Linked DNA regions of Diceros bicornis minor. The protein of the gene in region 1 interacts with the protein of each later gene in a biochemical or structural test. Links are inferred from orthologs where the notes say so. Each region holds a gene or a part of one and is shown in the gene's direction. Other genes may lie near its edges.

The links.
Region 2: the proteins of CREBBP (region 1) and HOXB6 form a complex in vitro, tested with the Homo sapiens proteins (2 studies listed by BioGRID). The link is inferred for Diceros bicornis minor from reciprocal best matches to the Homo sapiens genes CREBBP and HOXB6.
Region 3: of the proteins of CREBBP (region 1) and MAPK3, one has a biochemical effect on the other in vitro, tested with the Homo sapiens proteins (2 studies listed by BioGRID). The link is inferred for Diceros bicornis minor from reciprocal best matches to the Homo sapiens genes CREBBP and MAPK3.
Region 4: the proteins of CREBBP (region 1) and UBE2I form a complex in vitro, tested with the Homo sapiens proteins (2 studies listed by BioGRID, with this or other methods). The link is inferred for Diceros bicornis minor from reciprocal best matches to the Homo sapiens genes CREBBP and UBE2I.

Annotation. Positions count from the first base shown.
Region 1 is NC_080765.1:44,566,353-44,573,503, forward strand, and holds the start of CREBBP (CREB-binding protein), read left to right. Parts: upstream 1-4,148; 5' UTR 4,149-4,363; coding exon 4,364-4,448; intron 4,449-7,151. UniProt on the Homo sapiens protein: Acetylates histones, giving a specific tag for transcriptional activation. Mediates acetylation of histone H3 at 'Lys-18' and 'Lys-27' (H3K18ac and H3K27ac, respectively).
Region 2 is NC_080757.1:37,377,584-37,384,252, forward strand, and holds HOXB6 (homeobox protein Hox-B6), read left to right. Parts: upstream 1-4,456; coding exon 4,457-4,871; intron 4,872-5,906; coding exon 5,907-6,166; downstream 6,167-6,669. UniProt on the Homo sapiens protein: Sequence-specific transcription factor which is part of a developmental regulatory system that provides cells with specific positional identities on the anterior-posterior axis.
Region 3 is NC_080765.1:21,907,660-21,914,913, reverse strand, and holds the start of MAPK3 (mitogen-activated protein kinase 3), read left to right. Parts: upstream 1-4,251; coding exon 4,252-4,424; intron 4,425-5,457; coding exon 5,458-5,640; intron 5,641-7,254.
Region 4 is NC_080765.1:47,066,410-47,074,286, reverse strand, and holds the start of UBE2I (SUMO-conjugating enzyme UBC9), read left to right. Parts: upstream 1-4,858; 5' UTR 4,859-5,282; coding exon 5,283-5,322; intron 5,323-5,498; coding exon 5,499-5,575; intron 5,576-5,747; coding exon 5,748-5,831; intron 5,832-7,095; coding exon 7,096-7,168; intron 7,169-7,877. UniProt on the Homo sapiens protein: Accepts the ubiquitin-like proteins SUMO1, SUMO2, SUMO3, SUMO4 and SUMO1P1/SUMO5 from the UBLE1A-UBLE1B E1 complex and catalyzes their covalent attachment to other proteins with the help of an E3 ligase such as RANBP2, CBX4 and ZNF451.

The DNA of each region.
Region 1 (7,151 bases):
CACCATCAATTTAGAACATCTCATCACCCCAAATAGAAACCCTATATCCTTTGGCTACCATCCACTATCTCCACCCCCGTCACCCCTCCCGCCCCGGCAACCACTCATCTGGTTTCTGTCTCTGTGGATTTGCCTCTTCTGGACATTTTCTAGAAATGGAATCACACAATATGTGGTCTTGGATGGCTGTTTTCCTTCAGTGAGCATCACATTTTTAAGGTTCATCCATGTCATAGCATGTACTTCATTCCTTGTATGGCTGAATAATATTCCATTGTGTGGATATAACACGTCTATCCATTCATCAGCTGATGGATTCAAATGGACTTCTCTCAGGAAATCTTTCCTGATTTATCTCCACCTCTTGCTCCTCTGCTGGTCCCTCCTCGCCTCATTCTCTCGGCCCCCGAGCATTCTGTAAATGGGGATTCATTGATCTGAGACTAGAGACTAGAAAGAGCAGGCAGCCTTAGGTTTGCAACCCAGGTGAGCCTCTTAGTGACTGAGCGACTTGCCCTCCTCTGGGCCTCATTTCCTCATCTATAAAATGAGGACAATATTTCCTTCCAGGATTGTGGGAAATGCAGATCCAAGTGTGGCAGAGTGTCCTGGCACACAGAAGGCACTCAACAGTGCCAGGTCCCTTTCATCTGTTTTGACCCTGATCCTCAGCTAAGAGTGTGCGGGCAGGAATCATCCTTCCTTTCTTGCTATTCCCCCATCAATGTCTGAGCACAGCGTTCTTGGATGAGAGTCACACCAAGGGGAGAAGAAACAGGAAAGAAAAAGCAGATATCAGGAAATACCAGCAGAACTGATCAAAATGATACAAATGAGACAGAAAAGGGACAGCAGAGCAGGTATGTTTTAGGGTTGAGCAGGAAGAACATGAGGTTTCGAGTTTGTAGACCTGTGTTTCAGGCCTGGCCCTGACATGTCCAGGTCATTTACCTCTGAGTCATTGGGACTGGGTCTCCTCAGTTTCTCCCTTTGTAAAAGTGGACATGACATGTGCCATAGCTGCCCACTGATGGGGGATGGTGTGAGCTCATGTGCACATGGCTGTGTAAACCATTTACCGAGGGACCCCGAGGGCCAGGTGGTGACCCAAGGCAGGCTTCGGTGACCTGACACATCGTCCTCTCTGTGGGAGTGGCATGGAGCTGCCTTAGGCTGGAACTCACCCTTCTCAGTGACCTGGAGGCCTCTAGGACTTAGGGAGACCTGACATTGTTCATTCACTCATTGATTCATCAAATTTTACAAACCTACTTCTTTTTTTGTTGTGAGGAGGACTAGCCCTGAGCTAACATCCGATGCCAATCTTCCCCTTTTTTCTTGAGGAAGATTGGCCCTGAGCTAACATCTGTGCCCATCTTCCTCTACTTTATATGGGACGCCGCCACAGCATGGCCCGACAAGTGGTGCGTTGGTGCGCGCCCGGGATCCGAACCTGTGAACCCCAGGCAGCGGAAGTGGAGCGTGCGCTCCCAACCACTTGCGCTCCCAACTGCTTGCGCCAACAGGCTGGCCCCAAACCTACTTCTTGAGGGGCACTGTACTATGTCTAAGATATGGCCCTTGCCCTCAAGGGGCCCACAGACTGGTGGTGACAGGGACACACACGGCACATTCAGATACAAGGTGCTGCCAGCCCTGTGTTACTCTATGACTTGATACATTTCCCGCCTTCCTGTGCAAACTGGCTTCTTGAATACTTCTGTTTATGATTTCCAGGGCTTGCCATTTGGCCTCCTTGAATATACAGGGATTTCTTTCTTTATTCTTTGCCCTCAGGAGATTCTCAAGGGATATTTGATGGATAAATAAAAACATGAATGGATTGAAAAAAAAGTGACAAAGTGTGAGGTGTGCCCTCACAGAGGTCTGTCCAGAATGCTGTGGGAGTCCTGAAGTGGGCTAGGAGGGCTTCCTGCAGTAGGTGACATTTGAACTGGGTCCTGGAGGATGAGTCAGAGTTTTCCAGGCATATGTATTCTCAGTACAGGGAACAGCATTTGCAAAAGCATAAAAAGGCCTGAATGATAAGAACTTCCCAGTGGCTGAGTGGTTGTGGAGGAGTGATGGTGGAGTGAGGGATGGAAAGTGGAAGAGACAGATGCTGGGAAGGAGGGGTGGGCAGTACAAGATTTTGAACAATATAGATAAATACAAAAAAGTAGAAAGATCACTCAGTCTTGACACTTGAAGACAATCACTCTTTTGGTATATAAACAGACTATACATATGGTTTTTTTTTTTAAACAGACTATATATATATAGTCTTTTTTTCCCCATGTGTAGGAGCTATTTGTTTTAAACAGAGTTCTTTCTCTCTTTTTCCAGGAAGTTAACTCTGGTGCTGCATGGGGAGAAACGTGGAGCGCAAGGGACACTGAAGTTGGAAGCTGCCACCGTAGCCACCCGGGCGATGCCGGACGACTCGGGTGTAGTGGGATGGGGAGGAAGGGCCGTTTCCCAGGTAGAGGACGTGGGGAGCCTGGGTGCGAGGTGATGGAGGGAGGGAGGAGTCCGCACTCCCGTACAGGTTTCTTGCTTAGGAACCGGGTTGCTGGTGATACCTTTCAGATAAGGACTTAGGGATGAAGCTCCGGCACGCTTTGAGGAGCAGATAACAAGCTGAGATGTGAACATCTTAGAGTTTTGTGGAACCGTCTTGCGGGGAGTGGCCATGCGAGCCGATCTCCCCGGGACCCACACCTGTCTGGGGCACCTGCGGGGGGCGGAGCAGGAGCGCGCGCAGGCCAGCGAGGCCCTCCGCGCTGACGTAAGGGGCCCTCTAGGCCCGGCGCAGGTGACCGCGCCCCAGCCCGGGGGGCAGCGCTCGCCCCTTCCCCTTGCAGGAGAGGGTGTCGGGCCTGGGGGCCCCATCGCATGGGGCTGGTGAACAGGGGCTCAGGAGTCCTGCGTCCCCTACACTTCACTTGAGGGGGAGTATTCGAATCCCGGCCCTGCCACTTCCTGCCTCAGTTTCCCCATCTCCACACGCTCGCAGGCGGACCCGAGGGCGGTCTGTGACCTGCAGAGGACACGACACGTCGCTGGCCTCCGGCGAGGGGAAGTGGCCAGGCCGGGCCCGGGTCGCCTCCGACGTCGCTAGCAGGGACATGAGGAGCTGGGACCGGGCAGAGTCGCCCCCGAGGGACGGGGGGGCCCAGCCGGCACCGACTCCGCGCCTGGAGCCCGGCCCCCGGCCAGGCCGCCGCCCATGGCCCTCGCCGGGCCCCGCAGCCCAGTCGCCGTCAGAACAAAAGTGACGGCCGGGTTGGGCGCTCAGGGTCTCGCAGGCCGGGCTACCGCCCGGCCGCCCCACGCACAGCGGTCGCGCCTTCGGCCCTTTCCGCCCGAGCGCGCTCGGCTCTTTCCGCCGCGGCCGGCGCAGGTGGAGGGGGCGGGGCGGGGGCCGTGCGTGGTGACGCCGCGGGGGGGTGACGCACCGGCGTGCCCCGCCCCCTCCCCCTCCCCGTTCAGGCTCTGGAAAGAGAAGAAAAAAAACTTTCTTTTTTTTTTAATTGAGGAATCAACAGCCGCCATCTTGTCGCGGACCCGACCGGGGCTTCGAGCGCGATCTACTCGGCCCCGCCGGTCCCGGGCCCCACAACCGCCCGCGCACCCCGCTCCGCCCGGCCGGCCCGCTCCGCCCGGCCCTCGGCGCCCGCTCCGGCGGCCCCGCTCGCCTCTCGGCTCGGCCTCCCGGAGCCGCGGCGGCGGCGGCGGCGGCGGCGGCGGCAGCGGCGGCGGCGGAACGGGGGGTGGGGGGGCCGCGGCGGCGGCGCCCCCGCTTCGCGCATTGTTTTTCCTCGCGGCGGCGGCGGCGGCGGCGGCGGCGGGCCGCGGGCGGGGAGCGGAGCCCGGAGCCCCCGGGTCGTCGGGCCGCGAGCGAATTAATTAAGTGGGGCGCGGGGGGGGAGCGAGGCGGCGGCGCGGCGGCGGCACCATGTTCCCGGGAACTGCCTGAGCCGCCCGGCCGGGCGCCGTCGCTGCCAGCCGGGCCCGGGGCGGCGGCCGGGCCGCCAGGGCGCCCCCGCCGCGGAGTGTCGCGCTCGGGAGGCGGGCAGGGGATGAGGGGGCCGCGGCCGGCGGCGGCGGCGGCGGCGGCGGCCGGGGGCGGGCGGTGAGCGCTGCGGGGCGCTGTTGCTGTGGCTGAGATTTGGCCGCCGCCTCCCCCACCCGGCCCTGCGCCCTCCCTCTCCCTCGGCGCTCGCTGGCTCGCGGCTCGCGGCTCCAGGCTCGCGCTCGCTGCTCTCCCCTCGCAGCCGGCCGGGGCCGGCGCCGACCCCCGCCCCGGAGCCTCGCCGGCCCCGCCGCCCGCGCTCGGGGCTGTTTTCGCGAGCAGGTGAAAATGGCCGAGAACTTGCTGGACGGACCGCCCAACCCCAAACGAGCCAAACTCAGCTCGCCCGGCTTCTCGGCGAATGACAGCACAGGTGAGGAGGAGGCCGGGCGGGGGGCAGGGGCCCCGGGGGTCGCTGTCGGCCCCCCGGGAGGGGAGTGCCTGCGGAGACCCGAACTCGGCGGCGGGCGTGCGGAACCCCCGAAGCGGAGGCCGGCGCAGCCCCTTCCCGGGACCCCCGCCTGAGAGGGGGAAGTTTGCGGGGAGACTGTCGTGGGGCCCGAGTGGGGCGGCACATGCCCGGTGCACTCGGATTTCTTGGAGAGCCTCGCGGGGAGACCGAGTGGTACTTGCAGGGAGAAAAGTAAAGTGGAGCGTGGCGATTCCATCCGCCTCCTTCTGCCGCCGTGTGTCGACACACGCGTGGCCGGGCGTCTGGAGGGATGACAGCGGAGGGTACGTTTGATGGTTAGAGACAGAAAGTGCAGCCGAAAGGGGACCCGAAGGGTTTTCTGAATTGGTAACACATCCACTACGCGGCGGCCAGAAGACACTCAGAGCAGCAGCCCGCCTGTGAGTTACGACTTAGAAGTTTCTTGGAATGTTCTCCTTGGAAAAATGCTTAGTAGCTAATTGAAAGGCTCTTGTTGTTTGGTCACCTAAGTCATGCCATTTTTCACCACCCCAAACTTTGTTAGCAAGATGTCATAAGAGTGGCTGTAGTGTGTGTAATTTCACGTGTATAACTTGAAAAGAAAGTTAAATAGATTCGTTTGGGTTGCAGTCGCCGTTTGAGCTCCTGTTGCTTTTACAGTGTAGGTGTACAAAAAATTATGTTAAGGAATGTAGTGATTACGAGTTTTCAAAAAAAAATTTAGCAGGATAGTGAATGTCATCCTTTTCTTCATTAAACAGTTTCCCTGAAAACTTTCTTAGGTAATCATATCAGTTGCCTAAGAGAAATATTTTAGTTTTCTATTCATTTAGTAATTCTGGCTTCTTCTGGGCTGGTTCATGGTAGCATTATGAACAAGTTGTATTTCCTCTTTTAGAGCTCTCCTTTGCAGTAAAAACTTGTGCGCTGCTGCGAACAATTCGGTCTCCAGCGCAGCTTGCATTTCTTCAGTACAGTCTTGTAGTAGCAGCATCTGAAAATTTAATGAATGGGCCCAAATTGAATTATATTCCTGCAGCAGTGCCTTCAGATTTGTAGTAGACACAGCTGTTCAGCTCGTGCAAATATTTGTATGACTGACCACTAGCGTACTCCTATGAGTAGTCTAAAAATGTTTCTACTGTTGAAACAAAACTTGAATTTTTTGACTTAAGTTTTAATACAGTTCCTTGAATATTAATGTAGAAGTGAGAGAAACTTTTTTTTTTACAAATCGATCATAAAGAGATTCTTGTCTAGTTAAAATAAAGTTTGTTAAACGGGGGAGGAGTAAATAAAGCTCATGATATATGAAAGTCACTAATACTCTTTTTTTGAAAACTAATGGAGTTGAGTTTGTTAATTTGGTAAAATCAACTTATCTGAAGTGAGAAATATGGAAACAACCATGATGTAAATGTCCTCTTACTGCAGAACAGATCTCCATTGCTTCGTTAATCTTGCCATGTTTGAGTGAAAAGTCTTTAATCAAATGAAACATAGATCATACCAGGCAAGTTCAGCTTTGAAACCTGTCCTCTGAACTGGTCACTTTTGAATGGCTTTGCAGTTTGCTCTTGTTGAGTGAGGTTACTGTAGCTTTTGAAAGAGGGACAAATTAGTAACACAGACTTAACGCAAAGGCTTGTCCAGCTGTATATCCAACTGTTTCCAAGATGGAGCCCAAAGGATGGCCTTTGGGTAGTTCTGTTATTGGATGGTCAGATATTTACTTAATGTGCTGCTAATCGCAACCAAGTTTATCAGAAAGGATTTTCCACCCTTGACCATTTTTTTCCCTTCCTTTACGATTTTAACCCTCGTAAGGCATGGGGGCTCTTTTACTTTTCCAAATGTGGAACAGAAAAGTCAGTTTTTAATAGTTCTGATTTAAATAATCCAAAGAATAAAATTCACGATCATATTTATGTCCCGTACTTGATTACATGTTCATCAACAACATGAGAGGGTTATTGTGAAAGGGTCTGTTAGTGTCTGTTAGGTCTGTTAGCAAAGAAAGGATCATGGTCGAGCACATTAAATAAGGTACAGCCTTGTCTCACGTAACTACTAGTCTAAGACAGAGATCTTAAGCGTGTATATTAAGCAAATAAAGAACTAAAGGATTAAATTTCATACAGTCAAAGGAGTGAAGGCATTTGGTTGTATGGGAAGGTAAGGAAAGACCTGGGAATAAAGTTCTTAAGAGACTCAGCTTTGTTTTACTGAGGGAATGTGTGTTTGAGGCTTCGAGGAGAAAATTGGGCCAGGTGGCACAAGGTGTGTTCCCTGCTCATGTGATAAAATTTGAGGGAGGGGAGCTCCGTGCATGGGAAGAGCTGAGGGGTGAGGAGGAGGAGGCCTTGCTGGCCTGATAAACAAGAGTGACTTGGACTGCCACTATGCGGTACACATCTGTGGGGACTGGCCTGTGGAGCCATGGGTGTCATTTAGATGAGGCTAGGGAGGCTGGTAGTGGGCGGAGAGGAGAACCTGACGTTGGGGAGCTTACCAGCCAGGGTGCTGCCTACAGGGCACTTGCAGTCTAGCTGGCTGGGGGAGTGTGGATGTGCATAAAATACTCCAGTGAGACAAGGTGGCATCTCCAAGTGATAAATGCCATTGCCACCTATGACAGATGGG
Region 2 (6,669 bases), on another chromosome or scaffold:
TCTAGGGATTTCAGGCCCAGATGGTCGCTTTCCGCTGGATCTTGGTTCCCGACCGCCCGTGTGTGGATTAGAGAACAAGTGTCCCCTCTCCCTCGGCCTCCTCATCCCTGCTCCCAACCTGGCGGCTGGCTGAGGAAGCGGCTTTTTCCAGGGCGTATTTAAAGAGGACTAACACTGCATCCCGCGGGCAGGGGGCCCTGAATCAAAGGGATGGGGGATCAGAGCCGTGAGCCCTTCCTCCCCCGCACCCCAGGCGCGAGAGAGGATCATCCGGACCGCTGGGGAGATCCGAGGCCAAGGCTGTTCAAGGTTTATTTGGTTTTCTTCTCGGCCATGGGAGGGGGCCAGTAGGGGAGGCGCCGGCCTCAGCAGTTCCACTCGGTTGTCAAAAGACAAACCGGGTCTGTGTTCTCCGGGTTGGCTGGTGGGTCTTGCCAGTTCCTTGGCCGGTGAGTCCGCGATGAAGGAATCGAGCCGAGCTTTCTGGAAACTGTGGGTGTCTGCAAGTGAGTGTGGATCCCACCCCCCATTCCCGATCGTTTCAAGCAAAATCGACACAAATATGCTTTGGGAAAAAATTGGGAGTAGGAGTGGAGATCAATCATTAGGAAACCAAACCATTGTTATTTCAGTTCCTGCCGGACCCCTCACACCAGCTTAACCCGACCGCTTTCCCAGAAGGGGGTGGCGAGGGCGGGGTGCGCGCCTCTGCCGCGGCGTTTGAATATTGGCCCCTGTCTCACGGGTTACTGATTAGCTCGGGCTTTCAAGCCACAGGAGGAAGCTCTGGCCGCTCTTTTCAAGGTGCTGTGGCCCCGGTTCCTGGGCGGGGGCTCCAGGAAATTGCCTGCGGTGCCAGGCAAGCCGAGGTGTTACTAGGATCTGGCCCGGAGCTGGAGGAGCTGCGGAGGTCGAGGGGCCCGGCGGTGCTGGGGGCAAATGCGGCGGCGTCTGCCCCCGAGCCTTCGGCGCCTCCTGAGTCTGGGCCGCAGAAGCAGCCCTTTCAGCTTTTCGGCAGCGAGAGTGACTTTCTGGCGGCTTGAAAGCCCGGCCCAGTGCGGGAGGTCCCCAGGGAGCGCGCCCCGAAAGTCTTGGGCCCCTCGGAGATTTTTTTCTTGTGGTCAATCCGAAGGACAGGTAGGGAGGGGAAGGCGGCTGGTAGAAAGGGTTGAAATACTTCAGGGCTCTTAGGGTGCCCGTGGACCTGGGGGAGGGAACCGGGAGAGGAAGCCGCGCCACCGGCCACTCCCCCCTCAAGATCAGAGACTATGCCATTCATTTGCATAATGGAAATGAGGTCTTTGTGAGGAGCTTTGGACCGGACAATTTCAAGCCAATGTCCCACCTAAACAGCTCCCAAAGGTTGGGAGCAGCCACACTGCTCCCTCTGGGAATATTATGTTCCCCAAACCCAGAGAATCACAGAGTCCAGGCGAAGAATTAGGTTGAGATGTTTTAATTTGCCCCACCCCAGCCAGAGTTGGGAGTGAGGAAGGGGAAGTTGCCCTTAACCCAAAGAGCTGGGGGTGGGGGGAGCTTTGTAGCTGGGAGGAAATGGGACGCCTGGAAAATGTCTCAATCCCTCTCCCCTCCATAAACATACAGGGAGAGATCCCTCCTTGAGGTTAGCCGAACAGGAGAGTTCCACTCCTGAGCTGATACAACTTGGACATTTCCCTGGGAGCTGCGATGTGTGTACATCACAGGACCGCAGACCCGAAGTACAGAAAATTACAATTATAAATCCTGCCTGTGGGGTTTCTGTACAATCCTTCTCTTGTGTACTCAAGACTCAGCACACATTTATATCCACCTCTCCATACACACTTCCTCATTGAGGCAGGGAGAGAGCCCCCAGACCGACAGACGGCTGTGCCTGCTGTGTATTTACATATTCCCCCCTGGAGACAGACAGACGGCAGTGGACCGAACCACAGACAGATTCGTAGAGATCTGGCTCCAGAAACCAGGCGGCCTCTGTCCGGGCCCCGCCTGCTTGCTCTTTCTCCCAAACAAACGGATCAGACGAATAAACGCTCATAAATACCTCTGGGCTTAGATAAGAGCGATGAGGCGCTATTTCCTTTCATGCCGGACTCCAGGCGCCCAGGCCCTGCCTTTTCGGCTCTGTCTTAAGACAGGCAACCTGCAGAGGTGAGGTTAATTTGGTGTGGTGACTCTAAGGATAAGGTGAGTATTTTTGTGCTTCTATCACAGAGGAAGGCTCCCTCCCTCACCGCATCTTACTTCATCTAGACTCCACAGCAAAGCCCACAGGGTCCAGTCCTAGGATGGGGACACTGTGGCCAGGGAGGAGGCAAGGAGGGCTGAGGCCCGAGGCTCATCCTCAGTGGCAGAGAGAAGGGAGGTGCACATAGGCACTCTCCCCACCTTACTCCCCTGCCCAAATATTCCCCATTCCTCTCTAGGAGTGAGCCCAATCTGTTAGATTGGAGCATTTATGATTTTCCATCATTAGGAGTCTCGAGGTTTATTTTCCTAAATCTTGATTAAAACCCCCCATAGAATCAGGCTAGGAAGCGGTCGATGGGATATCCAGGGATCGCCACCTGGCCATGAAGTTGCAGCCTAGAAGTTGTCCTGAGTTCAGCGAGCCTTGTAGGCCACTTTGCAAGTTTCCACCCTTGGTCACCAGTCTCAGCTCTCCACCACTTTCCCTAGTGTCTTGTGCTGTGTTCAGTGGACAGAGGTGGCCCACAAAAAGGAGCCCAAAGACAGAGAGTCAGCCTAACCCTTTCATCATCAGACTTTGTCCCACACCCTGGACCATTCCTGGCTCCAAGTCCGAAGGTTGTCACTCTTTACTGCCTGGCCTCAACGTGCATATGAGAATGTTGAATACACATTGTAGGTCAGTCTTCCAGCCAGGCTTCAATACTCCATTTCCTTAGATGAGAGAGAGTGAGTGCTGGAGAGAGAGCTCCAGAGACATACACTCTCACACCCAAGCTTGTACCGAAGCAAAGCTGGTGATACAAACAAGGGGTGTGGGAGGGATTGTAGAGATGCTGAGAGACAGCCAGAAGGGTGGTGAGCATCTGGAGAGGGGATGCAGGCTGATAGGGGATGCTGCCTGCTGAGTCCCCAGGAGGACCCAAACATCCCTCCCTCCTTATAAGACTAAACCAACATCAAATCGTGGAAAATTAATTCTAAAAACTGCCAGCTTCTGGAGAGATCTGGAAAAGGAGTGCGAACACCTCTCTTTTCGGTGGTCTCTCATTGCCTCAAATATCAGGAGGGTTTGAGGACCCCAAATTGGAGGAACAATTTCTTCCCTGGACCCACTTACTGAGACAACCTTGATTTCTGTGAATCTGTAGCCCAGGATACTCATGTCTTTTGGGGTAGGAGGCAGGGGTCGAGTGGGGGTTGCAGACAGGATAGGGATGAGACAAACCTAGGCTGGGGGATGCCCCTCACTCCTCCTTTCCATATCCCCCAGTGAGGAGACAGTTAGTCCCTTTCCCCAGTGCCCCTTCCCGTGCCAGGAGCAAGCGGTACATACTAGAGCCAGGCAGGGTGTCTCGGGCAGCGGCAGCCTTAGTCTTCCAGGAAGCTCCTAGCCTAGCTGCAGAGCCAGAGGGAGAAGCTGGGGCTCAGACCTTCTTTCCATTTCCCGGCCTTGGGTCCTCTGGGCAGCAGGCTCTGGCCTGCCCCTCAGACCCTAAGAGTTGTGGAGAAGCAGGAATAATAAACCCCGGCTTGGAGGAGACAGAGCAGGTCTGACAATCAAGAAAAACGGTTTTCAAAACCTGAGAAAGAGTGTTTCTTCTTTGGCTTTCTCTTTCTGAAAACGATGCCAATTAGCGGAGAACTCTTCTTCCCTCTACCAACACAAAACCGGAGAAATAAACCTTCTCCTTTAGTCCTCTCTTAATGAGACTGAGATTCGAGATTCGGTGACATTTACTCACCCTTCCCTTGAGGGAATGGGGCTCAAGCAACGCAGGGGTTAACTTTTCTGAAAACACAATTAACTTTTTCCTATCCTGCGTGGGGAGGGGAGGGATATATTTATTTAATCACTGGGGGATGGGGTGGTCTCCATCCAAATGCTTCCTCCTCCCTCAAAGGCACAGACGCCTCTTTCGCAGATCCTACGTAGGTGGAACAGGAAGCGTCGTGTTGTTGGGGAGAGAGAGAAAGGAGAAGGAGAAGAAGGAGGAAAAAAAAGGTTGATAGGTTTGTGCGCGGGTCCCTCGTGCGGGCTGCGCTCCTCCTGGGTGCTATTTGACAATTCCTGCCTCTGCCATTGGTCAGTGTTGGATCAGATGGTTGTATTTCCTTCTGGCCCTCACTGGCACCTCGCCATCCCCCCTCAGCTAAAACCCAATCTCAGATATACTACTAATAGGCGCGGCGCTCGGACTATAAAACACAACAAATCATAAACCCGGCGGAGCAGCAGCGGCCGTGCGCGCCTCCCCTCCCAATGAGTTCCTATTTCGTGAACTCCACCTTCCCCGTCACTCTGGCCAGCGGGCAGGAGTCCTTCCTGGGCCAGCTACCGCTCTACTCGTCGGGCTATGCGGACCCGCTGAGGCACTACCCTGCGCCCTACGGGCCCGGGCCCGGCCAGGACAAGGGCTTTGCCGCTTCCTCCTATTACCCGCCGGCTGGCGGCGGCTACGGCCGAGCGGCGCCCTGCGACTACGGGCCGGCGCCGGCCTTCTACCGCGAGAAGGAGTCGGCCTGCGCGCTCTCAGGCGCCGACGAGCCGCCCCCGTTCCACCCCGAGCCGCGGAAGTCCGACTGTGCGCAGGACAAGAGCGTGTTCGGCGAGACCGAGGAGCAGAAGTGCTCCACTCCGGTCTACCCGTGGATGCAGCGGATGAATTCGTGCAACAGTGAGTGAGACTTCCCGCCGTCGCCCAGACCCCCGCGGGTCTCCACCTCCGGGAGACAGGGCTAGGGATGTCCCCCGCCCCCCTTCTCCCCCAGGGTGCTGGGTGGGCATCTCAGTTAGGAGCCAAGCGAAGACTGGGTGCCTGCACAGGGTCTCCTGCTCTGTCCTCTCGCCTTCAGGAGTTACAAAGTTTGCAAAGTCCCAGCTGCACTCGGAGCCAGGGGGAGCGAGTGGGCTCTCTGGGAGCGTCAGACCAGAGCGGGATTCCGGGTCAGGGAAGGGGGCAGGGGCTGCCGTCACGGGCTTGGCTTTCCCTTGCGCCCCCAGCCCTAGTCGGGTCCCCCACCCAAAGACTGTTCCATTAAAACCGGAGTGCTTCATGGGAAGGGGGCGGCGTGACGCTGGCGAGAGAGAGTTGAGTCTGTCCCGGACTGTGTTTCCCTGGGGGTCGGGGGCTGGGGAAAGATGAGGCACCAGGAAAAGGGTGGTAGTCAGAGGAGGGAGGCAGAATAAGGGGAAGAAAGAGAGAGGGAGCAGGCGGAGGGGGAGAGAGGAAGCAGCAGGCGCCTGAGTCTCAAGTTGGATTATTTGTCGGCCTTAAGTCCCAAATTGATGTCCATTAGAGGGACACCAAAGTGAAGAGCCGTTAATGCCGACTACGGATCGATCCACGTCATTACGGATTAAGGGCCGGAATCTATCACAGGGTAGTGGGGGAGCCAGATGGATGGGAAAAAAGGATGCGGCTAGGAAGAGACACACCTGGCCAGTACTTCCCCAGCCCCTCCCCCAGGCTCAGGTGGGATTTTAAACTGCTCCTCCCATCCCCCCATCGAGAGTCTAGACTGGATGCGCAGGCCTAGGAGACCCGGAGGGAATCTGGAGGGGGCGCTGGAGGAGTGAGGACGGGGGGCAGGGAACCAGACAGTGGAGGGCATCCCGAGACAGGCTAGCGTCCGTGTTTGAGGGTTGAGTGGGGGTGGGGGGCTCTGGCCCTGGTGACCCCAGGCCTCAGCATCTCCTCTCTGCGTAACAGGTTCCTCCTTTGGGCCCAGCGGCCGGCGTGGCCGCCAGACCTACACGCGCTACCAGACGCTGGAGCTGGAGAAAGAGTTTCACTACAATCGCTACCTGACGCGGCGGCGGCGCATCGAGATCGCGCACGCCCTGTGCCTGACTGAGCGGCAGATCAAGATCTGGTTCCAGAACCGGCGCATGAAGTGGAAAAAGGAGAGCAAACTGCTCAGCGCATCTCAGCTCAGTGCCGAGGAGGAGGAAGAAAAACCAGCCGAGTGAAGGCGCTGGAAAGGGAGGGGGGACGCGAAAGGGAGAGGCCTGTGGGGAGCCGAGGGCATCGGAGAGCCCGGAGAAGGCTCTGCGGGTGGGGGAGCCCGGGGACCTGCTCTCCAGCGCATGTCAGGCGGGGCCCAGCGCTCTCCTGGACGCCCCCGCCCGCAGAGCTCTCGCTGGGGGCTGGGAGGCGGTGCGCCTGAGCCCACCCAGCACCCGGCTCACCCCCTCCATCCCCGCGGAACCCGCCTCCGCCCGATCAGACTCCCCGTGAGAACTGAGGACCGAACTCACTTGATGTTTTCTGGAAGCAGAGCAAAATACTCTTGTCCGTGTCGCGTCTCATTTCGTCCATGTACCCCGTGCACGGTTCAATGGTAGATTCACAGTCCCCTCAGCGGGGGCCTCGAAGACTCCCTGACCCCAGACCTCTCTCCCACCCCCTCCCCAAAGCCACTGGAAGGAGCACATACTACCTAGAAGTAAGAAGAGGAGCCTCAGAAGAAAAC
Region 3 (7,254 bases), about 23 Mb from region 1:
CCAAGTCCCCCATTGATTGGTTCAGGGATTTGCACAGGCTCCAAACAGAATCAATAATGAGTGGGAGTCAAATCTGGGGCTTCAGTTACAGGGAGACAGAGAGACAGGAAGAGATGAGCTTTACTCCCTGATGGAGTTACCAGAAAAAAATCAGGCATGAATCTAGAACTGCTGTGAGCCATCTTGCCACCATGAGAGGAACCACCTGAGAATGGAACCAATTCAGAAGAAAGCAGAGCTCAGAGATGGGACCAAAGTCCTGATAACATCGTTTGAGTCCCTGGAACCAAGTGTGCCTTAACATCTACTTCTAAACTTTTCAGTAAGTGAGCCAATAAATTTCCTTTCTGGTTTAACTTGGTTTGAGTTGCGTCATTGACCGCTCATTACTGAAAGATTCCTGCTTAATACAAACCTCATCAGAGCTGTTTTAGGCATCTCTGAGGAGGAAAAAGACTGAAGGAAAGGTGACTAGTCAGTACAATAGTAATAGCATAATACAATAGCAAAGTGAGATGAGGAATCTCAAGGCAACGTCAGACAAACCCAAACTGAGGAACCTTCTATAAAATAACTGACCTGGCCGGTAATCTTCAAAAGTATCAAGGTCATGAAAAACAACAACAAAAAGACTAGATCAAAGGAAATGAAGGAGTCATAACAACTAAATGCAACAATTGACCTTGAATTGGATCCTGAACCAGAAAATGGAGATTAATGGGAAAATAGGCAAAATTTGAAAAAGGTCTATAGATTAACTCTATTAACGTTACTGTCTTGATTTTAATAATGTACTGTGTTTCTTTAAAATGTTAACATTTAGGGGGTGTTGATGAAAGGCATACAGAAATTCTTTGAACTATTTCTGCAACGTTTTGGTAAGTTCTGAAATTATTTAAAAAGTAAAAAAAAAAATAAAAACATGAAATTTGGGTTTGATGAATAGGAGAGGGGATGGGTTTGGGAAATATGTTAATAAGATGACAAGAAGTTGCCTAGATCTGGAGAGAAATGGAAAAATGAGAAAATAACAGGGTTCAACCCTGCAAGAATGGTGGCAGTCCTGAAGCAAGTCGAGTCTGGAAGAGAAACAGGTTTGGGAATGAAAAGGAAGACTTTCATCGGGCATGCTGATTTGATGTAGCAGCTAGCCTCCAAGTGAAGCTGTCCAGCAAACACTGAAACCTTGGAACCGGAACTAGGGAGAAAGGCAATGGCTAAGGATGGAGATTTTACATAAAGGAAAAAGGTGACACCACAGGAATGTGATGAAGTGACTAAGGGAGATGCTGTAGAGAAAGAGGCGTGAGAAGGACAGCCCAGGGAAGGAGCCCAGTGGGGGCAGGCAGAGCTAACCACAGAGATTTCAGAGGAGGGATCAGCTGAAGAATGCTTACACCAGAGGAGAGATGTTTGCGCAGAGCTCTTCTCCAACATATGAAGAAGTGTTACGAGAAACGTGTAAGAGAGGTATTTTGGATTTTAAAAAAAGGTCAGCTTAAATCTTAATAAATTATTAAACATGTTCTGACCCCTATTCCTGCACATTTGCTGCCTTCTCAGTTTCTGCTGGCTAGTTGAGTTAGTCGAAATGGGAATGTTCATTTGTACCCTTCAAATTGTTACTCGCTTGTGTTATTACCCACTGGCCTCTCTTGTGAACTTGACGTCACAGGTAAGAACTGGCTTAAAACTTAGTCTAGATAGATCCAGAGGCTGGAGCTAAGCCAAATAGAAATGGGAAAAACTCTATCATCAGAAAAACTCTAACAATGCAGTGAGCTGTGAGGTAATGAACTGATGGAGAAAATGATTCCTAGACCTCCTTCCAACCCCACAGTGCAGCAAGCTTCTGCTTTTTTTGTTGTTGTTTTCTGTTAAATGTTCATGGTATCTACTTCATACAGCTGCTGCGAGGATGATAGGAGATAAAGTACATAAAAGCGCCTGGCACAGAACAGATGTTCAGTCTACATTAGTTGCTTATGAATCTATGAAGCGGACTAGGAAATCCGAGTCCAATCTCCATGGAATTACCAATCTCAGCCACTAGAGGGGAATCTCAGTCACACTCCTTTGATGAGACAGCTACAGCCTGAGGCAGCAGGCACCCCGCCGGATACACCAGCCTTTCCTATGCCGGGAAACTCACTCCCACTCAGGAAACCTGGCTCCATGCTGAACTCCAGGGTGTTTTCTCTGAGTCACTATACTCTGCCACAGTTGCAAAATGATCTGGCAAAAGTCCCTCAAAGGTTTGTACTGCTTACTGAGTAACATCCAAACTCCTCGCCAGAATCCAAGGCCTTCCTCAATCTGTCTCCTTGCTGCTCATTCTGTTCCTTCTTCTCGATGCCTTTCCTCTATCCTGACCTTCTGAAACCCTACTTCTTTTTCAACCACACAAATCCATCTCCTCCATTACTCCCTCCTCACTCTTTAGAGTGATCTAACCCACCCCTGAGCTCACATGCCATATAATACATCCATCTATCTTGTATGAAATTGATTTATGTATGTGCATCTTTTCTCTTCAATAGATTAGAAATTCCATGAGTAGAGAGGCCAGTGGGTAACCTGACCAGGGTAACACAGCAAGTAAGCGGCAAAAATGGGAGTCTAACCCAGGCAATCTGGCCCAGAGAGCTCTTGCTGTTAACCATTATTTCACACTATATAGTAATCTTTCATTAACCACAGTGCCTAGCTCAGAGCTTTGCACTCAGTGCCATTCAGGAGCTTACCAAATGAATAACTAAAAAAAACAACACTGATCTAATTAGCACCTCTTCAACCTTCACTGACTTATGGGCTATTGGGAACCAGCAACTCAGTCTCATTAATCTGAATTAGAGTGCCTGGCCATAGATCTAATTATGAGCAATTTCAGAATCATAATTACTGTTCCATTTTGTCTCTTGATCTGTAATGTCTATAAGGACCTACTCCCAGCTTCTCAGGGAGAAAAAAACAACATGATTGCTTACTGAAGCCTAGGAAATGTGTTTTTGTGAAGCTTCCAGCTCACATCTTCACTGTGAGGTAAGGGGGATGGACTGGATGGTCTCTGAGGGCCCTTTCTTCAGTTTTAAAAGTCTATAATTCTGAGACAATGGAATTAAAAAGAGCCCTCTGCCTCTGTGTCAGGAGATATCATTTTGAGTCTCATCTCTGTCATTATTACAGTGATCTTACCCAAGTTCGAGTCCCCAACTCTGACTCCCCATCCATAAAACTTGATTCATTCAAAATTTTTGAGTGTCTGGGTGCCAGGCACTGGAAGATACAGTAATGAACAAAACAGACATGGGCCCTGCTCATCCAGCTAGGAAAACCAGAGGACACCTATATTGACGGGCTGTCCTAAGGAAGAAACTGAAGATCAAAGTATTGTGTAAACTATAAAGTCTAGTACAGAATCAAAAGATGATGATCTTGACAGGATTCCAGTTTTGTCAAATCTAACCACAACAAAACCACAACCTATTTTGCTCTTTTTGAGAAAAGCCTGATACTGTATTTTAACCAAAGCCAGTCAACTTGGCATGCAGCTCTCTCGCCTCTCCCCCGCTTTCCATGTAAAGGTAGGGTGGGGTTATCTGTCTTCGGGGTACTCCCGGGGTACATGCACGGCTCGGTTGCTGGCAGAGGCCAGGTCCCTAGCGCACTCCCGCAGGTCTCTGTCCGAAAGCCATTAGGCTGGGTTCTCCAGCTCTCAGCTGTCTGAGTGACTCCCAAGTCACCAGCGCCGGCTCGGGCCTCATCTTCCTCATCACAGGCCACACCTGTGAGGAAGCCCTCTCCCACAGCTACTGTGAAATACGGATAGGATCACTGAGCATCAGAGGTGAGGGTTCCCTTAAGGTTCCATCTCGAGCCCGGGGCTGCTCCTTGGGCGGGGCCAGGCGCCCCGGTCCTAGCACTCGCTTGCTGGGTGGCTCTGGGTAAGGTCACCCAGCGGCCCTACTGGCTGTTCTGCATTCTAGGGGAGGGTCTGGACAATCTCAAGGCGGCCCTGGGAGCTTCTAGCTTAAATGGAAGAGCCGGAGCCGCCGGGTACCATGAACCACAGCACCAGCGGCGGGAAAGCCGGGCGCGCAGGGCCCACGTGACGGGCGCGGGGGCGCGCGGGGGCGGGCGGGGCGGGGCCCGGCGCGCGCGGCTCCGCGGTGACAGGGCGGGCGGGAAGGGGCGGGGCCTCGGGCGGGGCCGCCGGGGGGGCGGCGGGCGGGCGGGAGGGGAGGAGTGGAGATGGCGGCGGCGGCGGCGGCTCAGGGGGGCGGGGGCGGGGAGCCCCGGGGAGCTGATGGGGTCGGCCCGGGGGTCCCGGGGGAAGTGGAGGTAGTGAAGGGGCAGCCGTTCGACGTGGGCCCGCGCTACACGCAGCTGCAGTACATCGGCGAGGGCGCGTACGGCATGGTCAGGTGAGGGGGCGTTCCGGGGGAGGGGGCCCCGCGGGAGGGGGCAGGGAGGGGTGCTGAGTGCTCTCTGGGCCGTGGAGACTCCGAGCGTCCCGAAGAGGCAGGGGCTCCAGGGGGCTGGAGAGCGTCCCGGGGCGATGGCTTCTGAGTGCTTTCGGGGGGAGGGGGCGCAGTGTATTCGAAGGAGAGAGGGCCTGGGGGCTTTGAACCCACTATTCTAGAATGAAGGAGGGCCATCTGAGTACGTATATGTGCGGGAGCTGTGGGGACCTTGGGCACCCTATAGACACGGGGTGAGGCGAAGAGAGTAAGTATTCTTGGGGAGGTAATATCCTTAGTGAAGAAGGAGTGAAGGACCCTTCTTTGGGGAGAAGATGCCTTGGTTCCCCCAGTGAGGCCTGCCAAGGAGTTTGGGAGAGAAGAGCGGGGCTCAGGGTGGGGCAGGGCTTTGGGCCTGGGGCCAGGGGCCCAGTGAGCAATGAGCAGTCCCGGAGTGCCTCCCTGCAGCTTCGAGGAGGGCTCTGGGAGTTGTCCCAGCCCTGCTGTGTGCTCTGGGCATTTGTTCATCTGGGAACAGCTCTGCTGCCCAGGTCCCTCGCCCTGACACCCAGGCCTGCCTTATCCCTTTTCTCCAGTGCCTCCTGTGACTCCCTCCTTCTCACTGTATTTGCCTCACTGTATGTCCTCCACTCATCTCCCACCCCCTGGACCTGTCTTGGGATGAGGGAGCCCATCCTGGGCAGGGGAGGATAACGGGTCAGGGCAACTAGAATGGAAATGGTTGAGGAGAGGGGAAGCCAGTGGTCGGTCAGTCTCTTCCTCTGTTTGTGAAGTCACTGAAGGGCTGGCTGGCTGGTCCCCAGCTTTCTCCCTGGAGATCCCAGGCCTTCACAGCAGGAAGGAACCAGCATTGTTTATGACTTGGCCAGAACCCTCTCTTGCTCCCTTCTCTCCCTGCCAAGGCCTGGGTGGGGCCACCGGGCCTGTACTCCTCCTTTGTAAGGCCACACCAACAACATCTCTCTGGCCCTCTCAGCTCAGCTTACGACCACGTGCGCAAGACTCGAGTGGCCATCAAGAAAATCAGCCCCTTCGAGCATCAGACCTACTGCCAGCGCACGCTGCGGGAGATCCAGATCTTGCTGCGCTTTCACCATGAGAATGTCATTGGCATCCGAGACATTCTGCGGGCGCCCACCCTGGAAGCCATGAGGGATGTGTATCCTTCACCTTGGCCAGATGGCTGGCCAGGCACAGCCTCAGAGCTGGGCTGGGAGAACATTGGCTTTCTTTCTGTTTCCTTCTTCCCTACCACCCTCCAAAACAAACCCAGTAAAAGAAATTTTCCAGCAGAAAAGAGGCCACAGAGTGTAAGAGGACCAGGAGGCCTCAGATGAATCCTGGCCTGCTGCAGCCATGCAGTGTGGCCTTGGGCAAGTCTGTTCTCTACGCTCTGCCTCAGTGGGGGGCTGGGCAAGATGGTATCTATGGGAGCTTTGTCTTCTGACATCTGCAATTCTGTGCTGGGAGCCAGCCTCTGCCCACAGTCAGTTCTTGTTTAACAGATGATGATTCTTCTCTGGGTCCTCAGACTGGAAGGAAGAAAGCTGGCCTTTTTTGAGGGCCTACTATGAGTCAGGTGCAGTGCATGCCAAGTGCTTTAACATCTCTTATTCTACCTCCCAACTGCCCTATGAGATGGGTCAATCAGCTCCATTTCAAAGATGAGGACACTGAGGCTCAGAAAGCCTAAAATCAAGTGCTTCTGTTGCTGCCTGCTCCCCTCCCCCAGATGAGAACCAGTCCTTCTTTCTCTGAGACTTCCTGCTCAGAACCCCACCCCAATTACCTGTGGACTTGAACCTTGCCCAGGGAGGGACAACCGTGCCTTCATAGCCCTCCCCCCATATCGCTTTCCTAGTGTATTGTCCGCTTCCTGCCTGGCTGTTAGCACCTTTGTAACACCCGCCACCTCTCCCCCACCACACCCTACCCCCCCCCCCAGTCAGTCCCAGTCCTCCACCCAAGACTGGGGATTTGTAGCACAGTGTCTGCAGCCCCTACCACAAACTGTGGGCAGGAAATCTCCACACTCACCCCCAGCTTGCTGTGTGACCGTAAGCAAGTCACTGCATCTTGCTGGGCCTCTCATCTGTAAAACAGCAGGGTTGGTCCAGTTCTCAGAAGGCCCTTTTAAGGCTGATTCTAAAGACAGTCCTGACTCATTCTTCCAGACACAACCAAATGACATTTATTTACTTATTTATGTTTAATCTTTGTTTTATCCTAAAATATAAAAGGACATTTACTCCTCTATCTTCTGATGTATGTCCAAGCACTCTTTGAGTAGGAGTGTGCTCTTGGGAGTTTCTCCTCATATGTCTTGCACAAACCATTCCCATAAGGCAGGCATTTATTTTAAAGCAAACATTTATTACATGCCAGATGATGTTCATACATTATTTCATTTAACCTCAACAGCCATGTGGCTCAGGCATATATAACAGCAGTACTAGTTCTTGTTTGCTGAGCGCTTACAACATGGCAAGCAGGGGCAGGCTGCTTTACACGGGTCATTTCATCTAATATTCACAACCACTCTAAAGAACAGTTCTTCCCCCTGCTTTACAGATGAGGAAATCGAGGTGCAGAGAGGTTGAGGTCACGAAACCCATGAGCAGTGGAGTCAGGGTTTCAGACACGCAGGTCAACTCCAGAACTACTGCTTTTAACTGGGCAGTTCTCCTGCCTCCCCCACTTTATTAGTCCCGTTTTCCCAGGAGAGAAACTGAGACCACAGAACTGAAGCGCTTTGCTCAAGGTCACCAGCTGA
Region 4 (7,877 bases), about 2.5 Mb from region 1:
AGGTGCCGGAGGAGGCCGGGAAGGGGCAGCGTCCGCACACGGGCTCGGGGTGGATCGCAGGTCCTGACTGCGGGGGCAGGGGGTCCCGGCAGCCCACCCCCATCCCAGCTCCCCTCCCCCGCCCTCAACCCCGGCGCCCCTCCCCCCCGGCCAGCCCCGGGTTAGGGAGCGTCCACACTTCTCCTCCCGTCGGTCGGGCCGGCACTCGGCCTTCTGTGCGGGGTCAGCTCATTGGGCGAATTCGACGGACGCCCCGCCCAGGGCCCCGAACTAGCCAATTGCAAGGGGTTTCACAGGGCGTCGTACTCGGGGGATCGTCACCGTCCTGCGACGCTGCGGAGGGTCCTTAGGCCTCAGTGGTCTTTGCACCCCGGCCCTGGGCCCTAGCCCCCAGGAGATCCCCGGGCCCCGTGCCCGGAGAGGTGCCCGCGGGGCATCCGGGGAGCCCTTGGGGATCTCGGCCTTCCCTTTCCCGCGCGGCTCGCCGGCGTGTCCTCGAGTGGACGCGCGCGTCACGAAGGGGAGTTTGCAGACACTCCCTCACATCGGGGACGCGGCTCCTTTAAGGGAGCAGGTGTCTGGGGCGCCGCCTGACTGGAAAGCCTTCCCCGGGCCGGGCTCCCCGGCGGAGCCCGGGGCGCGGGCGCGCTGCGGCGGGGCGCGGGCAGCGGGCGGCGCGCAGCGGGGCGGGCAGCGCGGGGGCTCGGGGCGGCGGCGGCGGCGCGCGGGGCAGGCGCACAGCGGGCAGCCCCCGTAGGCCCCGCCCGCGCCCCGCCCGCGCGGGGTCCTCGGAGCGCTCGGGCTGCGCGCGGAGCGGGCTCGGGAGGGAAGTCCCGAGACAAAGGGAGCGCCGCCGCTGTCGCCTCGTCCGCCTCGCTTGCCGGGCCGCGGCCGCCCGAGGTGAGCACGGCCGGGGGGCGGCGGCGGCAGGCGGGCACGGGCCCTCTGCTGCCGTCGGGCCCAGCCGGGAGGGCGCCCCCTCCGCCCCCGGCCTTGCGGCCCCGACTCGCCGTCGCCGCGCGCCTGGACCCCCGCCCCGCCCCGCCCGGCAGGCCCGCGGCGCCGCGCCCGGGAGTCGGCCGGCCGGAGCAGGGAGGCCCGAGCCTGCGGCCTCGGCGGACCGCGTCCCCCCGCGCCTGGCCTGGCTCGCGTCCCGTCCCCGGATTCCCATCACTTTCCCTTTTGAAGGCGGGAGAGCGCGTGCTGGGCGGCGGCCCCGAGGGGCTCCCGGTCGCGTCCCGGAGCGCAGAGCGCCGCGGCCGCTGTTGACAGGCGCTGGGCTGGAGGGCGGCTACCGCGCCGCGGAGCCTCCACGGGGAGACTGTTTTCCGGGGTCACGGGACTGCGCGCAGACCTGTGGCGCTCTGCAGCCAGGGGACAGCGCGCGGCCCCGGTACTTGAAAGTCTTGGGTTGCAAAATCGCTGGCTCGTGGGGGGGTGGGGGTTTGATGTCTGAAAATCAAAACAAGCCTGAGTTTTCTTGCGCCTCTAAAGAGCTCCACCTGCAGTTGGTGGGACACTGAACATGGGCGCTTCGCTTCAGGGAGAGTTTTCTTTCGGAGGTTGCTTTGTACCGATTGAGCGGAGGTTGGAACTGGTAGTTACGTGAGTAGGAGGGAGGAAGGGGATGATTAGCTGGGCTCGCGATCGCGGCCTGTAGTCGCCCCGGAATCACAGTATTAGCCGGTTCGGTTTGTATAATTTGAAAATATGCTTTGTTTCTCAGTTTGGGAAGATATTGTTACTGTGTTTGCAAAGTTGGCTTTTTGTTTGTTTCCTTTTAAAGACTGTGGCCATAAATGTTTCTTGCTATTGAGGAAACACAGCCTTTGGGTTGAGAACCTATCCGACAGAAAAAGGACATGGATCCTAAGTTTGTCCTGATTTGTTTTCCGCCTTTTGGGTGGTTTAGGGGTGAATTCTGCATGCTGTTGTGCTTTTGCCCGGTGAGTCTTGTGGTTTGTGACTTTGCTTCAGAAACAGCCCAGGGTCCTGGGAATTATGTTGGGAAAGAACAAGAGATGTGCAGCTTGGACGGGAGGTCTCCTGAGTGCGAGGTGCTTGGGGCCAGGTGAAGTGAAAGCCTTCTGCTGGAATCTCCCTTGCGGAGTTTGCATTTGGGTGGGAAAGGCCCGGCTGGAGCGTGAAATCCATTATCAGTGTCACCCTGGGCAAACCTGTGAGGTCATAGTCTAGCACCCGTTTTACAGATGAGAAAGTTGAGGCTGGGGAAGATGAGCACCTTGCCATATTCATGCAGTAAGTAGCTCTGAGGTCCGTTCTGTCAGTTAGTAGAGCATGATCTGACAAGAGCAAGTTCAAGTACACCCCTCTGCCAGGCCCTGGAGGAAGGTGGAGGGCAGACTCCAGTGCTCTGCCTGAAGAACTCTAGTAGTTAGGGGATGTCTTATCTTTGTATCTTATAACTTTGCTGCTCTGAAGCATCTAGGAACACTCAACTGCTTCTTAAGTGCCTCTGTTAGTTGGGGAAGGAGTTTCCATTTCAAGTGGGATTCTGAATGAGTTGTTCTGTATTGTAATTAAAATGTAACAAATTGTCTGCTGTCTCCTGTACACCAGGAGGTGAGTGGGAGTGGAAGCATCTTGGGACCAGTCCTCTGCCTGGGACTGTGCAGGTGTGCACCTGTGGCTCTTTGTCCTGCTGACAGAACCCGTCTTGGTGATGCCAGCCCAGCTCAGACTGGGGGGCGGGGGGGTCCTTACATCTCATTTCGACAACTGCTTGTCTTGGTTACTGAACTTCTGTGTTCATTAATGCAGCAGAAGCAGCCTGCCAGCCTGTGCTGTCTGCTTTACCCTGGCTGGGGGTGAGAGGCCATTCTGTGTGTGCCCTTTCGGTGGGGGAGGCTGGGGGCAGGGGACTGGAGGACTTTGGAGGCTAGTGTGTGCTGTGCTCTCAAGCTGGGGATGGGGGTGGAGTTGGGTCATTTCATTTAGAAGAACCAGTTGAAGTGAAGGGTTTGAGAAACTTGTGGAAATGAAGGATTTTCAGACATCCAGGTTACTGCCCCAGCCTCCTGGCCTCGCGGCTAGTCATCACTGCGCACTTCTGCCCAGAGAGAGCCTTAAAGACAGGAGCTAGCTGGCGCTCTCCTCTGCCCCGGTCCTTGCAAGCTCCCCACCTCCCTGTGCAAGCCCAGGTCCTCACAGTGGCTCACCAGGCCCTCACGGTCAATGTCCAGGCGTCCTGAACCCCCTGGCCCTGCCTCTGGCCCACGGGGCCCTTCTGTTCCTGACCATCCTGCCTGGAACAGTCTCCTGCCTGATCTCTGCAGGCTGGGCTTGAGTAGCCTACCTGGCCACCATTTGAAACCAGGGTGCGTGCCTCCCCATCCCTGTGGTCCTGCTGTGGACCTCGGGCACCTGGTGTTTCCCAGGACAAGACTTCCTCTTGTGTGAGCCCCCAGGGCAGCAATGCGCGTCTTGTTCTCAGCTGCTGGCCCCGATTTTACGTAGCGGGAAGGAGTGACTATTCCAGATGGAGACGTGCTGTCCAGGGAAGGAGACCCCGGGTGGGCGTGAGCTTTGGGCAGCCCAGTCACATACCGCATGGGAGGTGGGCAGACTAGAACCCTGGGATCGAGTGGCGGTGAAGAGAAATTCTATTGGGTGCAAGCTTGATGTTATCTATTTCATACTTAATCTTGAGGTCAGGTAAGATCAGAGTCTTTGTAAAGGCGCGTTGTGGGGTCACAGTGTGGAGCTGGAGGCCGTGCCCCCAGTGGGTGCGTCTGTCACGTGTGGCCCCGGCAGCTGTGCTTCCTGACTGGAGGGCTTTGATTTTTGACCGTCACTTTTCCTTATGATGACATAAGCATGCATGTTTCTTGAAAGCGCACCACGTCTGGTTGGTCTGGCGGTTTGTGGTAACTCGCCCCACTTCCTGAGACTTGGGCTCCTGGGTGGCACGGCAATGGCGATCCCAGACCCCCTCCTTCCACTTTGCTGACTTCTCGGGAGCTGCCCAGAACCCAGAGCGCTGGCAGCCCCGAGTTCCTGACTCGGGGTGGGGGGGGCATCGGGCATGTGCATTTCTTACAAGCATCCAGGTGATGCCCCCGCCCAGGGCCACACTCAGAAGGGGCTGTACTGCAGGGTAGCAAGGCGTGGCCCGTCTGGCCTGCTGCTGACCTGTTGACTTGACCCCTCCTGCACAAACAGGGGCTGTTTGAGTTGTCTGGGGCCCAGGGCCGGGCAGCCAGGTGGGGGATGGCGGGGAGAATGGTGCGATTTGGATTGCTGAGGCAGTTGTGGGTCAGCCTGCGCCGCAGTGGGGAGGCCGCATGAGTAATCACAGGAGGGGGAGTCGGGGGCAGGGGGCGATGCAGCGGGTGTCTTCAATGTTTCCACGGACTTGGGAGATCAGCAAACACAGGGTCAGGTTCTTGGGCAAGCTTTGTGACCTCTGAAGGTCTGCTGTGCCTTGCTGGCTATCCAGCGCCCTGAGATGCTGCTTTACCTGCGGGAAGCATGAGACAGTGCAGGCTGAGGGCTTCTGGGCTGCTGATTTGAACGGCTGAAGGCGCTGAGCCTCCAGGGTCTGTAGTCGAGGGGCTCGGGGCGTGATGGGGGGAGCCCCCTCCACACGGTGCACTGGCGGGGGCGGGTGGGCCTGCCTGCTGAGGTGTCTCCCCTTCCGCCTTGTGCTCCCTGCTAGCTGGCTCCCCCTTGCGTTGACTTCCCCAAAGTAAATGGGAGACAGGCCTTGATCTGTTCGTTGTTTGTGGGGCGCCAGCAGGTCCTAGGTGGGGCTGTAGGATGTGAGAGTGGAGGGAGAAGAGGAAGGAGCCTGGGGCCCTGGTGACAAGGGGAGTCTCTTGGATGCTGGTGGGCAGGTGTGCCATCTCTGTACTTGTCCATAACTCAGTTGAACTGCTCTCTGCCCCACTGGCACATTTCCGCTGCATTGCCTTTCAAGAATAAGGGTTATTCTCCTGGCTGCGCCCAAATCTGAATTCTGAGCCCCTGATTCTGAGCTGGGGGCCTGACAGCGCCCCCACATCCCTGTACAGGCAGAGGCGAGCACGCCATCACTGCCCCTCCTGGGTCTCGGGCTAGTGCTCTGGACACCCCTACCTTGTCCCTGCTGTTTCTGCGGAGTCTGATGGTGGAATTGTAATCCCTGTTACTCTGGCCCACTGCCGCATGTGACTGAAGAGGGCAGGACAGGTGTGCAGGTGTCTGTTGGGAGTGCCCAGTGTCCCCTCCCCCGCAGCACCTAGCAGCTGTGTGGCTTCACCTCTCTGAACCTCTGTGTCACCATGAAATGGAGTCCACGGCGTGTGCCGTGGAGCCCTGGAGGTGAGATGTACACAGGGAAGGTGCCCCACATGGAGGTGTTCCAGGAGGCCTGGGTCTTGGGAGCGGCCAGCTGCTGCTTCCCTGGCTGCCGGGGGCGGGTGGGGCCAGTTGTCAGGTGAAGAGACAGGGAAGCAGGTTTGCCTTTCCTAATCGCACCCTCTGCCCATCTCTTCCAGGGACTTTGAATATGTCGGGGATCGCCCTCAGCAGACTCGCCCAAGAGAGGAAAGCTTGGAGAAAAGACCACCCATTTGTAAGGAAAGCTTTATTTCTGTGTGCAACGCAGTGGACGGGGCCTGCCCGAAGGGGCCTCCCGGACGGGGGCCGTTGCCTCCGCGCTGGCAGGCGGTGGGGCCGCAGGCTTGTCCGTGTGCGCGTAGAGTGAGGCGGCGTGGCTGATGTGCTTGTGTGGTGTTTTCTCCCAGGGTTTTGTGGCTGTCCCGACAAAAAACCCCGACGGCACGATGAACCTCATGAACTGGGAGTGTGCCATTCCAGGAAAGAAAGGGGTAAGAGGCCCGTGGCTCATGTCCTCTGCCACTTGTCGGCTTCTAGCAGCAGGACAGAGGGACAGAAGTCCTTCAGAAGGACTTGTGTTTGAGTGCATGTGACATTCCTGATGCTCATGCGAGCCCCGGGGGGATGTGAGATGGGGAACGAACGAGGGTAGGGTGACATGTAACCCCTCACGTGTGGGGAGGTGCCCCACCAGCTGCATCTCGGGAGCAGAAGGAGCCTTGGAGGTGGGATGGAGACTGGTCTGGAGGAGCCCGAGGGCCTTCGGGCTTGTCCTGCCGGACCTGCTGGGGCTGCAGCTGCCCAGACATAGTGATGCTCCTTCTGGGGCGTCTCTGAGCCTGGGGCAGCTGCAGATCCTGTGATGCAGAGGCCAGGCATCAGCCACTGGAGAGGGCTGCGTGGGCCCCTGCATGTCCTTCACACACTGGCCAGTCCTCCCTGTGGGGCTGCCTCCTCGGCTCCCCTGAGTGCACCCGGCCCAGTTAGGACCCGCACGCTTGAAGCATTTGGGAGTGAGGGTCTCTGATGACCTTGCGTATAGTTCTGCCTGGGTGACTCCGGAGGAGGAGGCCCCCGAGGTGTCTGGGTTATGCTGGAGGCGTCATCACCTCCATTTCCTCCCACCCGTGGTCTGTTGTGAGATCACGAGAGCTCAGCCTCAGTGCTTCCTGATAGTGTCCCCACCCCCTGCACTAAGCCGGTGGATTAGGACTCGGCTTTGTCCGTGAGGTGACGTGGTTTGGGTTTATCCTTCGTCTGAGGTTGTTGAGCGCCCAGCACGCACCCAGCGTTTGCCGAGACCATTCCTGGCCCCTCATCTTAGGGCAAGGCAGGTGTGCTGCGGCCGTCTCCCTCCTGGGGGAGGTTGGAAAGGGGTAGTGGATGGTGGCGCTGGGAGGCTGCCCAGGGACAGGTGGGACCTGAGGGAGGGGCCTCTCAGAATGCCCCTCTAGGGGAAGGGGTACGCAGTAGAGTTCCCTCAAGTCCTCACCCTGTCCCGGGGTGGGAGGAGCCAGCCCGCCAGGGGCCCTGCCTTCTCAGAAGCCCGGCTGCTGCCCTGCCCCGCTCCAAGGAGAGCTCTTTCCGACTCAGTCTAAGGGCTCATGGAGGTCCTGACAGTCCTGTTTGTGGAACAGTTGGGCTGCTCCCCTCTCTCTGGGGTCCTCGTGGTCCTAGGGGGTGTGCAGCAAAAGCAAGCCCCTCCTCCTGGGCCTGGCCGGCAGCACATTTAATCGCAGTCTTATTTCCCAACAGACTCCATGGGAAGGAGGGTTGTTTAAACTGCGGATGCTTTTCAAAGACGATTATCCATCCTCACCACCAAAATGTAAGTAGACTGAAGTCTTTGAAAGTCAGTCTGCTGTGGCCACGTTCCAGCAGAAATCTGAAGTCCTCTTCAAAGAGCTCAGGCCTCCTGGGGTGTTGGTTATGTCACACTCTGCTCCACGTGGGGCGGCTCCAGGGCCTTTGATCCCTGTGGCTGGCTATGGATTTGAGTCTGTTTCTAGCCCCGGGGGTGCGAGGGGCATGGAACAGGCTAGTCCCAGATCCCAGCTCTAACCCACTGGGAAGCTCCTGGGCCCTTAATGTACCAGCCTAGATAGGGACGGATGTGTAAAAGCACCACCGTCTAGAACTTCACCACTCGGAGGGTTTTGTTTGCCCTGACCTGTTACCAGCCTGCCTGTTGTCTGTTAGAACTTCCCACCCAGCTCATGGCTGCATCTGCAGCCTGGAGGGAGGGTGCACATAAGCCCCCAGAGAAGGCAGCAGGGAGAAAAGGCCAAGCTGGTTTAATGTGCTACTGCCAGACTGTCCTGACGCAGTTCAGCAAACCTCAGGCGGGGCGGGGCACCAAATCCCTACCCTTTTGTAGCTGGAAATCAACATACGTTGTCCGTGGCTGGTTAATTAGATGAGTTAACATGTGCCCCAGCGCGTGGGCAACAGGCGGTGGCGTGGTGAGGCTCTGTGTGAAGGCTTGCCCTAGTGGTCAGTGATTCGGGAGGCAGAGGTACGTTTCCCATTGCAGTGGC